Cricetulus griseus: one gene and its partner. The protein of the gene in region 2 purifies or fractionates together with the protein of the main gene of each other region. This does not show direct contact. Links are inferred from orthologs where the notes say so. Each region holds a gene or a part of one and is shown on either strand. Other genes may lie near its edges.

Region 1 (6,999 bases), on a different chromosome or scaffold from region 2:
TTTAATTTTTTGTCTGTAGGCTCATGTGGCCTCACTGGAAGGCATTTCCCCGGAAGATCAAGTCGTGCTTTTGGCTGGCTCGCCGCTGGAGGATGAGGCCACCCTAGGCCAGTGTGGCGTAGAGGCCCTGACTACTCTGGAAGTAGCTGGTCGCATGTTGGGAGGTGACTGCTTTTTTACTGTGAACTAATGGAATGTGTGTAGTTATAGAATGTGTCAGCTCATTTCTGTGGCAATACACCTGTGCCTTCTAGAGTGGTACTGAGTTTAACCAGACTGCTTCTCGGGGTCCCCACTAAAATCAAGATCCAAAGTCGTGTAATGGCAGTGTATACCTTTAATCCTAGCAACATGGAAGACAGGCAGGCAGGTCTCTTTAAGGCTAGCCTGGTGTACAAAGCAACTTCCAGGACAGCCAGGGCTACACAGAGAAACGCTGTCAGGAGACAAAAGAGCAATAACAATCAAAATCTGGCTTCCTGTCTTTGTTTTGTATGTAAAATGTTAGCTAAGGATAGTTCTTGCCTTAGTAGTATATACATCAACCCTCAGCACTGAACAGACTGGCCACAGTGACATTGTGGTGGAAACCAACCTGGGATAGCTATTCTGTGGCCTCCATCTCTAATCTGTGCAACTTGGTTTCATTCCTTGTTGGACCCAAACTTGTCTTTGTCCCGTCCCCCCCCCCCCCCCCCCCGTCCCCCCGTTCCCCCGTCCCCCAGGGTTTCCTCTAGCTTTTGGAGGCTGTCCTGGAACTAGCTCTTGTAGATCAGCCTGGTCTCGAACTCACAGATCCACCTGCTTCTGTCTCCCTAGTGCTGGGATTAAAGGTGTGTGCCACCAACGCCCAACTAGGGCGTTGCTTCTGATCTGCCTTTCTTCCTTCCCCACACAGGTAAAGTTCATGGTTCCCTAGCTCGTGCTGGAAAAGTGAGAGGTCAAACTCCCAAGGTGAGTGAGTGCCAGAATTGTTATTTGCACTATTGCAGCAAAATCAAAGACCTTTGGTTTTCCTGTTTGTATTCTCTTTCCTGGAGAGGAATTGGTGGGAAGGATGCCAGGCATGGGAGAGGTGAACCAGGGTCTTACCAGTCAGTCCTTCCCTTTCCCAGGTGGCCAAACAAGAGAAAAAAAAGAAGAAGACAGGTCGGGCCAAGCGGCGGATGCAGTATAACCGTCGCTTTGTTAACGTGGTGCCAACCTTTGGCAAGAAGAAGGGCCCTAATGCTAATTCCTAAGTCCTTCTGTGATTCTTGCACTCTAATAAAGCCACTTTGCCCAGATGTGTTACTGCTTTCATCATTTGTGAGGCCTTAAGAAGAAATAGAACTTTTAGGCTAGTAAAGTGTCTCTTGGCCATTGGGAGTGATAAATGAGAATCTCACCACAGCGGGCAGAAGTGGTGCACACCTTTTAGGCCTAGCACTTGGGAGGCCTGAGTAGATGTAGCAGGTGATCTGAGTTCAAGGCCACCCTGGTCTACATAGAGACCCTATTTCAACCAACCAAACAGGTTCAGTGTTAGGCTGTTTTGGAGAGGCAATGATTAAAGGGAGGGGAGGCCTTGGTTAGAAGGTGAATCGGTTTTTACTGAATTTGGGACCAGCTGTACTATCAATAAAAGTTCAAAACACGGGCTGGAGAGATGGCTCAGAGGTTAAGAGCACTGACTGCTCTTCCAGAGGTCATGAGTTCAATTCCCAGCAACCACATGGTGGCTCACAACCAAACCTTATGAGATTTGGTGCCCTCTTTTGGTGTGCAGATATACATGGAAGCAGAATGTTTTATACATAATAAATAAAATCTTAAAAAAAAAAAGTTCAAAACACAAGGAGCATCGGGTCCCTCGGCATTGGAATTGTCTGATTGCACTGGCATCCTGATCTTGTCTGGCTGAACTTGATCACAACTGTGACTGAGAAGCTGATTAAATGGTTCCACCCTTAGCACCAGGCTTCCACTACACCCAGATCCCATTGCATCTTGGAATGCACCAAGGAGTAAGGCCAAAGAATAGTTGGACACTCCATTCCATTTAAGCTTTGTGAGAGATACTGGTCAAACTGTAAAATGCGCTGCAACCAGTGTCTAACCCATTGTAGACTCTGAATAGTGACTGTCTCAGACTCATTGTTTAGCCATTAGCTTTTTACTATAGTGGGTGTGGGTATTCCCACATTCTTGTTAGGACAGCATTCAGGAGTGTACCAGGGATTTGGAGGCAAATGGTTTTTATTAAGCCCAGGCTAGTTTTGGACTCTTAATATTCCTTTCCCAGCCTCCCAAATGTTACTAGACTACCACATGCTGTGTAGACTACCACACTTGGCCTGAGCAGTGCTTAAGGGTCAAATTCCCAACTCAGGTTCTTTGTAGAGGAAAAGTATGAAACTATGTAGTTTGCGATCCATGCATAGTGGCACATACCATTAATCCCAGTTCTGAGAGGAAGAGGCTAGCCTAGCCTGGTTTACAGCGCTAGTTCTAGGAAAGCCAAGGCTACACAAACCTCTGGTGGCAGTCAGGGGTTGGGTGGGGATGGGTGGCACAAAACAAATACTAGGAATTGAATTTCAATCCAACTTGGAGGTTGGGCTGCCCCAGTTTGTTATATTGATATGTTAAGTATCTTCGGGGCTTCTCTGTGGCTTCGGAGGCTGTCCTGGAACCTGCTCTTCAGATTCTTTGTCATGCCTGGTTTATGATTTGGTTCTTGTAGGGTTTTTATTATTTTGGGGGTATTTTCAAGACAGGGTCTTACTGTAGCTCTGACTATTCTGGAACTCACTGGGTAGACCTGAAACTCAGAAATCGCCCTGCCTCTGGGGACCTGGTGCGGGGATTAAATTAAAGGCGTGTGTCGCTACACCCCTAAGATTCTGGATTTTTTTTGTTGGTTGGTTTTGCTTAAAAGGTAGTTTATTTTTGCACAATTTGGTAAAACCACAGGGAACAAGCTGGGATCAGCGACATTAATCTTCTAACTCTCGAGAGCCACCGTGTTGGTTAGACCTTGGGCGTGTTCTGCGCATGCTCAAAAGGCTACTCTAGAGACGGAAGTTACCGAGAAGGTACGTCGCCCCACGCACAAAGGCGGAAATAACCGAAGAAGCACCGGAAGTGGCGGAGCTACGTCTGCTGTGTGGTGCCCGACACGCGGCGCCAGTTGCCATGGAGCCCGTAGGGCTCTGCGGCTTCTGCCCAGGCGGGGAAGCTTTGCCGGCGCGCTACACCTGCCCGCGCTGCAACGCGCCCTACTGCTCGCTGCGCTGCTACCGGGCGCATGGCTCCTGCGCCGAAGACTTCTACCGCGACCAGGTGCTGCGAGAGCTCCGCGGCCGGAGTGCCTCTCCCAGCCGTCTGGCGGGAGCACTACGCCGGCTACGCGAACAACGGGAGACCGAGGATGAGCCCGAGGAAATAGGCCTCAGGCCCGGCCCGCGGCCGAACGGCCTTTCTGGACTCTGGGAAAGCTTGTCACCGGCTGAGAAGGCGGCGTTCGAGCGGCTGCTGAGCCGTGGCGATGCTGGACGCCTTCTGCCCCCGTGGAGACCCTGGTGGTGGGGCCGCGGGGGTGGCCCGCGATTTATGGAGGAGTTGGATCGTGCCCCGGGCAGGGATCTTTCGGAGCCGGAGACCGCCCCAGAGAGCACCGCGCCCGAATCTGTGGATGATGCCGCCGCGGTGCCTCTTGCTGAAGACTCAAATGCCGCCGTGCCGCCCGCAGTGCCCTCCCGTATCCCAGCGCTGGCCAGCCTGAGCCGCTGCCCGCCCTCGCCACTCGTGCGATTCCAGCTGCCCAATGTGCTGTTCGCCTACGCTCACACTCTCGCCCTGTATCATGGAGGGGACGACGACGCTCTACTCTCTGATTTCTGTGCCACACTGCTCGATGTTTCTGGAGCCCTGGGCGCCCAGCAAGTCTTTGACTCTACGGAGGAAGCCCTGCAGGCCGCAGCCCACGTGCTGGAAGCGGGTGAACACCCACCTGGGCCCTTGGGTACGCGGGGTGCTATGCAAGAGGTTGCTCGTATTCTGCTGGGCGAGGGTCCTATCAACCAGAAAGGCTACACGCTGACAGCACTGGGGCACCTGGCCCAAACCCTGGGCCGAGCCCGGAAACAGGCTGTGGTTAGCGAAGAACGAAATCGCCTTTACCGGGCTCGGAAGAAGTGCCAGTTCCTCCTAGCCTGGACCAACGAAAATGAGGTTGCTCTCACACCACTGGCTCTAGACTGTGCCAGGGTCCACCGAGCCCATGCTGTCACAGCCGAGGAGATGGCAACCCTTACTGGGGAGCTGGAGCGGCTTTGGGGAGGCCCGGTACCACCTGCTCCAAGGACTCTCATTGAGGAGCTCCCTGGCTGAGCTGGGTGTGTGGTATTAATAAAGCTGTCACTGGTCTGTCCAAATGTTGGCAGTACCTTTATTTTCTTCAAAGACAGTACCCTATCCTAGACTTTCCTTGAAGTCACTGTGTAGCTGATGACCTTGAACTTCTGAGCCGAGCCTGCCTCTACCTTGACAGTGCTGGGATTACAAGTGTTAAGTCACCTTGCTAATTTATGCAGTGCTGAAGGTCAAAGGCTTCTTGAATGCTAAGCAAGCATTCTATATAACAACTACATCCCCCAGGCCTGAAGTGCCCATTTCTGAGAGAAACCAGTTGTTCCACGAAGCTACCCTGGACACACAAACCACTTCCCTAGTACAGCTTCCCTAGTCAGCTAGTTCTCTACCTCTCTCCCCCAAATCACTGACCCCAGAATAGAAGAAAAACAAGATTGAAAACATTTATCCAGCAGGGAAAAGTATTTTCATATGGGAGCAGTGGTTCCCTCTTCTTGCGTCAGACTCTGAGGCTGGTCATCCCTGCCAAGTAGAATGGGGTGCAGGCCCTTCACCCCACATGTGTTCAGGCCTGAGCTTGTTAGATGGCTCTGCCTCAGTAGACATAGGGTATGATTCGATAAGGCACACGTTTGCAGTATTCCTGCCAGGCACGGCCATACTTGCGAAGGCACTGCTGCTCATCTCGGGCCTCCCGGTGTACCAGCAATGCAGTGAAGTAAAGGAGGTAGAAGTAGGGCAGCAGGTGAGACACCCCTGTAGGGAAGGGGTTGCATGATGAGACACCAGCACCCGGTGTATAATGGCTTTCTCAGCTAATGACACACAGGGTGACAGGGTTCATCAGTGATACACGGGGTCCATCTCCAGTCACACCAGACTGAGCCTCCCTTCCCAGACCTACTCACCACAGGGCAAGGACCAGGCCAGAGCCATGATGAGGTCTCCCAAGTAGTTGGGGTGACGAACCATACCCCACCACCCAGATACCAGCAGCTGCCGTCCTGTGGCAGTAGGGATGGTTTCAAGACCTGGAGAAAGGTAGCTAATGAACCAGGGAGCCTCAAAGCCTGACCCTTCATCTCACCCATAGTCTCCAGGAGACCCAGCTCACCAGCCACACTGGGGTCAGAAGGATTCTTCCGGAATGTGTTTTTCTGGGAGTTAGCACCACGGAAGATGTAGTAACCAATAACTGAGAGAAAGTATGATCAGGTAGTGAGATGAAGTCCAAGCCTTCTTCCTCGCCCTGACAACAAGCCTGTCCAAATCCCAGGCTCTGTTATGACACCCAGGGGGCCAGCTCCCAGCTTTAGAGGAGCATCAGAGCCTGGGATCTACCTAATGGGCAGTGAATGAAGTATGAAAGAGGGAGGGGAAATGAAGGCCCTCCTACTGACCCTTAATAAGGCAGATGAGCAAGGCCATGGGCAACCCCAGAGGCTGTGGATGGTATAGCAGGAACTGGGCCTGCAAGCTGTAGGTGAAGGGTACCCAGGCTAGGTCTCCAAAGGCCAGCATGAAACCAAATCCATCATGTATTATGTCCATGGTGGTGAGGACAGACTCCTGCAGGGACAGGACCCAGACACACTGGCTTAGTCCAGATGACATCTTCAGGATCCCTTTCTCACCTCCCCTTCCAATCCAGCCTCACCTCATACCAGAGGGCATCACCCACATACAGCAACTGGAAGGCATTGACCAGCCACATGGCCAGTGAAGGACTCCCCCGTAGCTCTGCCTCCTGTATCAGCAGGGCCAGGTTAATAAAAACCTGAGGGAAGTGGGGACAGGGCCATTGTCTCTGAGTGGGAGCATCAGAGTGGAAAAGTGTCAACCTCTCCCCTCCCTCAACTGTCAGTTCACATGTTGAATGAATCTAGGTCGAAGCTGCCTATACTTAAAACTCCTGCTTTTGAATCTGAGCTTTGCCACTTGGGCAGAGTATATATCCTTGCTGAAGCTCACTTTCCCACTGCCATGTGGAAAATGGGGATAAGAGCCCTGTCTTGCTGTTTAAAGAAAAATATAATGCTTGCAGAGCTGAGGATTAGCTTGTCGTGAACCTGTACTTTGTACCCTTGTTTTAGTAGTTCCAGTGGACTAGGTAGCTTCTTCAGTAATACTGACATAGTACTTTCATTAAGGGTACCTCTAATTAAAAAAAAAAAAAAGTCTCACTAAGTAGCCTTGATTGGACTGAAAATGTGTACAACCAGGCTAACCTAAAGTCATAAAAATCTACCTGCCTCTGCCTCCTAAGTGCTGGAATTGAAGGAGTGTGCCACCACACCCAGCCCTCACAGTAATTGTAGAAGAAAACTTCATCCCATCCTGTTTCTTCAGTGAGAAAATAACCTTAGAGTCTGGTATGTGTGTAGGCAGGCCAATCTCCAGATCCTTGGAGGGACCAGGCCAGGTGGGGTTACAATAACTAATCCTAGTTACTTAAGTAGGTGAAGAAAGTGGAGGAGACATTGATAGCCAGGGCTATCCTAGTGAGACCTGTTTCAAATCCAAACCAAACCCAAACTCAGATTCATAGAGGTTACTTGGCACTCCTGCCTCTGGGTAAGATCTCCAAGATGAAAGCAGGGCCTTGCCTGAATCTCTTTGGAACTCTTCACCACCGTCCATGTC
Region 2 (7,193 bases):
GAAATGATATTCAAAACTCAACTTCAAGAACAGACTCACATATTTTGTATCCCAATGCCCAGGTCACTTTTACCAAATGTCTGTACGCGCAGCTGCTACAACAGAAGTTTGTGCCAGACAGGCGGAGTGGATATGGGCTGCCACCTCCATCACATCCCCAGTTCCGAGCCCATGAATTGGGCATGAAGTTGGTAATGTTGACCAAGAAAACTGCCTAACTTACCTCCCCTCCATCCTTCCCTCTCTCCCTACTTCCTCTCCTCCCGCCCCCCACCCCCTCCTCCCTTTCCCCCTTACTTTCTTTCTCTAATATGAAAGGGCTTTAAGGACTGGAGAAATGGCTCAGTGGCTAGAAGTGCATATTGCCCTTGCAGAGGACCCAAGTTTGATTGCCAGCATCTATATCTGGTGACTCACAACAGCCTGTAATTCCAGAACCAGTGAGTTCCCAGGCTTCAGGCCTCTGTGAGTACCTGCATTCATATGGATGTACCCATCTACACACATACAAATAATAAGTAATTTTTAAAAAGACTACACATAGAAAGACACTCTTGACTTGATAAAGATATAAATCGATTCAATCCTTATAGGAAATCATTTCCCACTATTTATCAACACTTAAATTGTACCAAACATTTTGCCTGCCATTTTCACCTGAGTTAATGAATGGCACAGCATAGGAACTCTAGAAATAAGCCCTGCTTATGTGAGAATGTAGTAAAATTCATCAATTCAGATCAGAGCGTCAGGAGAATTACTCAGTAAATACTGATCCAATAGCTGTGAAGCCTTCTGAGAATAAAAGGTCAATTCCTTCACACTTAGGACAGAATAAATTCCACTGGGATTAAATAATTTAATGTAAAAATGGAAACTGTAAAAATTAGAAAATATAGAAAATTATCTGACTAGGAAAGGCCTTTTCAAGCATGGCTTGCAACCATAGGCAATAAAAGATTGATATAATTTGATGATGTAAAGGTTTCTAGCCAAGTGCAGTGTGCATCTGTGGTCCCTTTAGAGTCCAGCAGCCAGAATGCAGCCTGGGTGACAGGTAGCAACACTGTCACAAACACCAATGTAGCAGTAGATGGAAGAAGAGAAATTCTGCTTGGAAAAGAAAAATGTCATGAACTCAAAAGATACCAGAAAATCTGGAGAAGGAGTATTAGGTGTTCCTATAGAAAAGAATGCTTGGGCTGGAGAGATGGCTCAGTGGTTAAGAGCACTGGCTGTTTTTCCAGAGGTCCTGAGTTCAATTCCCAGCAACCACATGGTAGCTTACAACCATCTGTAATGTAATCTGATGTCCTTTTCTGGCATGCAGACATACATGCTGACAGAACACTCATACCTCAAAAAATGCGTAATAAATAAAATCTTAAAAAAAGAAAAAAAAATGGGGCTGGAGAGATGGCTCAGTGGTTAAGAGCACTGACTGTTCTTCCAGAGGTCCTGAGTTCAATTCCCAGCAACCACATGGTGGCTCACAACCATCCGTTATAAGATCTGGTGCCCTCTTCTGGTGTTCAGATATACATGGAAGCAGAATGTTGTATACAAATAAACAAATAAGATCTTTAAAAAAAAAAAGCTAACTGATTAATTTTAAATGTTCAGAAGCTGAACAGATAGTTCACAGAGAAGGAAGTACAAATGAATTTTAATTTAAACATGAAAAAGCATTGACCTCTCTACTTAAAAATTAATATAATTTAAAGCCACAAAATAGTTTTTCACTACTAGATTGGCAAATATAAAAAAGTATGGGAACATATACTGAGCTGGTAAGCATTTATAGGATATATAAAGGAAAAGGGTACTCTAACATGTGGATAGAAATAAAAATTTAGCTGGGTGTGGTGGCGCACACTTTTAATCCCAGCTCTTGGGCGGGAGAGACAGACCTCTGAATTCTAGGACAGCCTAGCCTGTGTAGTGAGTTCCAGGACAGCCAGGGCTACATAGTGAAATCCTGTCTCAAACACACACACACACACACACACACACACACACACACACACACACACACACAGAGAGAGAGAGAGAGAGAGAGAGAGAGAGAGAGAGTCTTAAGTTGATTCATTCCCTGTGAAAACCAGTTTCCACTATCCATCAACACTGAAATTGCATTGACCATTTTGCTTATCATTTGCACTTCTAGAAATGTGTTTCCAGGTTTCAAAACCACTAGACTTCTACTCAGGAAACATCATTTGTAATAGTGAAAACTTAGAAAACACCTAAGTGCATGGAAGAATAGATAAATTACGCCATGTTTGTGAAGTGAAGTTGACAAATTGATGTGTGCCGGTAGGAAATTCTCTCCTTATCATGCAGTTACGTGCAGTAGAGTGTGTGCTGCTGTTGGGGTGATGAGAGGGTAGAGAAGGATGGCACCAGTATTTACTTGAGTGCACAGATTACTTCTTAAGGGAGGTGCCGGACTTAGGTAATGACTTTGAATTATTGTGCCATATTATTATCATTTTTTACCAAAGGATCTTAAAACAAAATCATTCTGTTCTTTCCTGTGTCTGAGAATATGCTCAACTTACTTTCACATTGTTGTTACATTTTCATTGATCTATTTCGTGTGCATGGCAGGGTTGGGGGGAGCCTGCCATGGTGCACAGTGGGGGTCAGAAGATAACTTTTGCGTTGGTTCTCTTCTACCATGTGGGTTTCAGAGATTGAACACAAGCCATCAGGCTTGGTGGCAAGCCCCTTTATCCACTGAGCCATCTTGCCAGCTCAGAAACAAATTCTACTTTTCGTATAATTTAAAAGGTGTTCTAAGTGAAGCTGGGTATGGTGGTGCACACCTTGATCCCAGCACTCGGGAGGCAGAGTTTGAGGCCAGCCTGGTCTGCATACTGAGTTCCAGGGACAGCCAGGTATATATACTGAAACCCTGTCTGAAAAAAGAAACTAAAAAGTGTTCAAGTGTTCACATTTCATTGTGTCCAGTCATCTAGTTCTTGATAAGGGCTAAATGGGAAAAATTAATTTAAGATGACAGAGAAAAAGAAAATGCAAGAATAACAAACATTCTTTCTATCTCATCTAGGCTCATGGATTTGAGATTTTGTGCTCCAAATGTAGCCCACATTTTTCTGACTCCAGGAAATCCCTTGTGACTGCTTCACCCCTCTGGGCCAGCTTCCTTGAAAGTCTGAAGAGGAATGATTACTTTAAGGTGGGAATTGTGGTGGTTGCTTCTTCTTATGAATGTGTGTGCATGTATGTGTTATTTGTGTTCTTACACGTGGTGGGGGCCAGAGGGTGGGTAGAGGCGGGGTCTTCCTCTCACTGAACCTGGAGCTCACTAGTTGACTATACTGGTTGGCCAAGGAGATTATAGGCCAGCCTCATCTCAGAGAAATAAATCGAACACCACCACCAAATCCACCCTCACAGGTGGTGGATGTAAACAAATGAGCATGATAATGAAGATGATTAAAACTGAATGCTCCTATACATAGTTTTTGAGAGACCCTTACATTCGAGAATGTAATAGGCATGAGTATGCTCAAAATGCATTAAATATACATACAAGGATATCAAAAATAAAACCCATTACTATATATATTTATCATCTGCTAATGAAACACTCACTAAAATCAATGGAATTTGAGGTCAGATATGGTACTACACACATGTAATCCCAGCTCACCAGAGACTCAGACAGGAAATTCTAAGTTCAAGGCCTGTCTGACTGTGTAGCTATTTAAAGGCCAGCTGAGCCACTTACAAAATCTAGTTTCAAAATAATAATAAAATTGGTCTGGGAGAATAGCACAGTGATGGAGCACCCTCATATTGTGTAGGCACTGTTCTAATGACCGGTATTGTGTTTTCAAGGGACTGATAGAAGGTTCTGCTCAGTACCAGGAAAGACTAGAAATGGCAAAGAACTACTTCCAGCTCTCCATACACCGCCCGGAAAGGTGAGCTATAGCTACCACCCACCACAGAGGAAGGCAGACTGCTGGTTGGGTAGTTCTTTTTAACTAATATGTTTTATAAAATGTCATGGCTGTATGTGTGTATAATGTGTGTATGGATACAGACATGAGCATGCCACTGGGGGAATCAGTGTTTGAATCTATATTATAGATATTTTTATTGTTGTACATAATTTTAGTTAATCATTTTTCTATGAGTATATTTCTTTTTAAAATATTTATTATTTTTATGTATGTGAGTGTTTTGCTTGTATGTCTGTGCACTGCATGCATGCCTGGTTCCCTAAGGAAGCCAGAAGATGGTGTTAGGTCCTCTGGAGCTGGGTTACAATTGTTTGTGGACAGTTACAGCCATGTGAATGAGTGCTGGAACTGAATCTAGGTCCTCTGGAAGAACAACCAGTGCTCTTAACCTCTGAGACACCTCTCCAGTCCCCTACAGTTCTGGGTTTTTGTTTGTTTGTTTGTTTTTTGAGACTGACAAGTGTATGTATTGTTAGACACTGAGGCCAGGAGACTCACAGCCTAAGTGCTCACAGGCTGCCCTGGCACTGAGCACAGGGGTTTGCCTGGCCTTAAAGAAGCCCCACCCCCTACAGTTCTTTATGACACAATATTTAAGGAAATGGATTATGCCATAAAGCACACAACTGTTTTTGCTACTGAAGAAAATATACAAGCTGCTAAACATCTAATATTTTAAGCAAGTGTGATGGTTCATGGGTGTAATCTTAGCACTCAGAAGGCTGAAGCAGGAGGATCACTATGAGTTTGAGGCCAACTGGGCTACATAATTTTTAGGTCAACCTAGCTCATAAAGAGAGATGTTGACTCAAGAAACAAAACAACCAGAATTTGAAAGTTTCAAGGGGGACTCCCATTTCTCACATTAGCCATTTTTCAACAATTTCATTTTGATTTGCTTTGTTTTGGTCTTTTGATATTTAAGTCAGAGTCTCACTATGTATCCCAGCTAGTCTTACATTCTTGTTCCTCTTGCCTCCTCCTTCCAAATTCTGGAATTAAGAACATGAGCCTCGGGATGGGAGTGAGGGGAGGGAGAGGGAGCAGGGATCGACATGTGAAACAAGCTTGTTCCTAATTTGAACAATTAATAAAAAAAAAAAAGTAAACAAAAAAAAAAAAAGAAAAAAGAACATGAGCCACTGCTGGGTGGTGGTAATGCACGCCTTTAATCCCAGACTTTGGAGGCAGAGGCAGGTGGATCTCAGTGAGTTCCAGGACAGCTAGGACTATTACACAGAGAAACCTGCCTTGAAAGACAGAGAGAGAGAGAGAGAGGGAGAGAGAGAGAGAATATGAGCCACCAAGCCTGGCCTTTTAAACTATTATAAACCAAACTCCTATCTCCCTCCAGACCTGTTCTTGAATCCCAAGTCTTAGATGTCTTCTTCATTTATTTAGACTTGTTTCATCTTCTGTCTATGCCTGTTTTGCCTGAATGTACGTTGTGTGCCATGTTTGTTCCTGGTACTCTTGGGTCGGGAGAGGGTATCAGATCTCCTGGACCTGGAGTTACCAATTTGTTGTGAGCTGTCACGTGAGTGATGAGAGACAAGTCTGAATGCTCTGCAAGAGCTAAGTGCTCTTAACCACCGAGCCATCTCTCCAGTCCTTAGAGCTTTTTAATTTATTTATTATATATACAGTGTTCTGCATGTTTGCCTGCATTCCAGAAGAGGAAACTAGATCTCATTATAGATGGTTGTGAGTCACCATATGGTTGCTGGGAATTGAACTCAGGACCTTTGGAAGAACTGTCAATGCTTAACCTCTGAGCCATCCTTAGAGCTTTGTTTTGTTTGTTTGTTTTTAGAGACAGGGTTTCTCTGTGTAGCCTTGGCTGTCCTGGAACTTGCTCTGTAGACCAGGCTGTTCTCGAATTCAGAGATCCACCTGCCTCTGCCTCCCGAGTGCTGGGATTAAAGGTGTGCTCTACCTCCATCCGGATCATTGTAGTGTTTTAAAGTGTATATCCACTGCAGAACGGTTAAATCTAAGTAAAATGTGTATTACCTCATATATACTTGACGATGTACTTAAAAAATACAGAGTGAATTATAAGTGTTCTGGGTGCATGTGTGCCACAGCATACTTGTGGAAGTTAAAGGGTAACTTGCAGGAGTCAGTTTTCTCCATTCACCATGCAGGTCCTGAGGGTCAAACTCAGGGCATTGGGTTTGGTAGCAGGTGCCTTAACCCACTGAGACATGTTTCAGGTCCCATCTCTTCTTTAAAGGGAAAAAAAAAAAAAAAAAAACTTGTCCACACCCCAATAAAAGTAATCAATTGCCCTCTTCCACATCTCTTTAGCCTTTGTTGTTCTTAAATGATTGTATTTTGCCATAAAAAAAGTCACTTTTAGGGTTTTGTTTTACTGATTATCAGTATCTTTTTTTAGTTCATACCAGCCTCAAACCTTCTGTATAGCTGAGACTGGTTTTAAAGTCCTGATCCTCCTGTCTCCACCTTTCAAGTGCTGGGATTACAGACAGACAGACAGACAGACAGACAGACAGACAGACAGACAGACACACACACACACACACACACACACACACACACACACACACACACACACCTGTGCTTTGTCATTTATTAGGATTTTTTTTTCTTGCATAACATGGGGTAGGGATAATTTATTATTCATGTGGCTTTTCAAAGTATCCAGCTGTTTATTGAATTTGCTTCATCTAAATAGTTCAGATAGTTTCATCAGTGTAGATAATAAGTCATGTCACCACCATAAGGAAATGCCTGTCTTTATTTTTTGTAGTTCAGTTGCTATGAGTCCAGGTGAGGAAATCTTAACCGTGTTGCAGACACTGCCTTTTGATGTCGAGGAGCTCAAGAAAGAAGGAGCCGCTCTTCCTCCTGAGGATGGTGAGGGATGGGCACAGAGCAGAGCAGGGAGGTAAGAAAGGCCTCTCCTGTGGCGTGGCTCACCTGCCTTCTTTTTCAGATGACCAGTGGTTAGACCTCTCACCAGACCAGCTGGACCAGCTGCTGCAAGACACTACAGGCAGAAAAGAGTCACAGCCCATTTCCCAGAAGGAGGAGCAGAAGAATTATGATGTAGCACAGGTCTCAGACAGCATGAAGGCCTTCATCTCCAAAGTCTCAACCCACAAGGGGGCAGAGCTGCCAAGGTAGCTACACTAAAGAAAAATGCCCAGTTACGCCCAGTGTCGAAGTCAGCAG

The links. Proteins that work in one complex are often made in the same cells at the same time.
Region 1: the proteins of Ecd (region 2) and Znhit2 purify together in Homo sapiens (affinity purification with mass spectrometry; 3 studies listed by BioGRID and IntAct, counting the BioPlex papers as one, with this or other methods). This does not show direct contact. The link is inferred for Cricetulus griseus from reciprocal best matches to the Homo sapiens genes ECD and ZNHIT2.

What each region holds. Positions count from the first base shown.
Region 1 is NC_048596.1:53,287,544-53,294,542, reverse strand, and holds Znhit2 (zinc finger HIT domain-containing protein 2), read left to right. Parts: upstream 1-2,941; 5' UTR 2,942-3,177; coding exon 3,178-4,374; 3' UTR 4,375-4,418; downstream 4,419-6,999. Other genes in the region: Fau (40S ribosomal protein S30), read left to right, coding at 20-164, 899-954, 1,116-1,241; delta(14)-sterol reductase TM7SF2, read right to left, coding at 4,952-5,112, 5,265-5,387, 5,471-5,551, 5,757-5,925, 6,014-6,133. UniProt on the Homo sapiens protein: May act as a bridging factor mediating the interaction between the R2TP/Prefoldin-like (R2TP/PFDL) complex and U5 small nuclear ribonucleoprotein (U5 snRNP).
Region 2 is NW_023276807.1:200,643,618-200,650,810, forward strand, and holds part of Ecd (protein ecdysoneless homolog), read left to right. Parts: intron 1-62; coding exon 63-191; intron 192-3,073; coding exon 3,074-3,202; intron 3,203-3,867; coding exon 3,868-3,953; intron 3,954-6,768; coding exon 6,769-6,875; intron 6,876-6,954; coding exon 6,955-7,141; intron 7,142-7,193. UniProt on the Homo sapiens protein: Regulator of p53/TP53 stability and function. Inhibits MDM2-mediated degradation of p53/TP53 possibly by cooperating in part with TXNIP. May be involved transcriptional regulation. In vitro has intrinsic transactivation activity enhanced by EP300.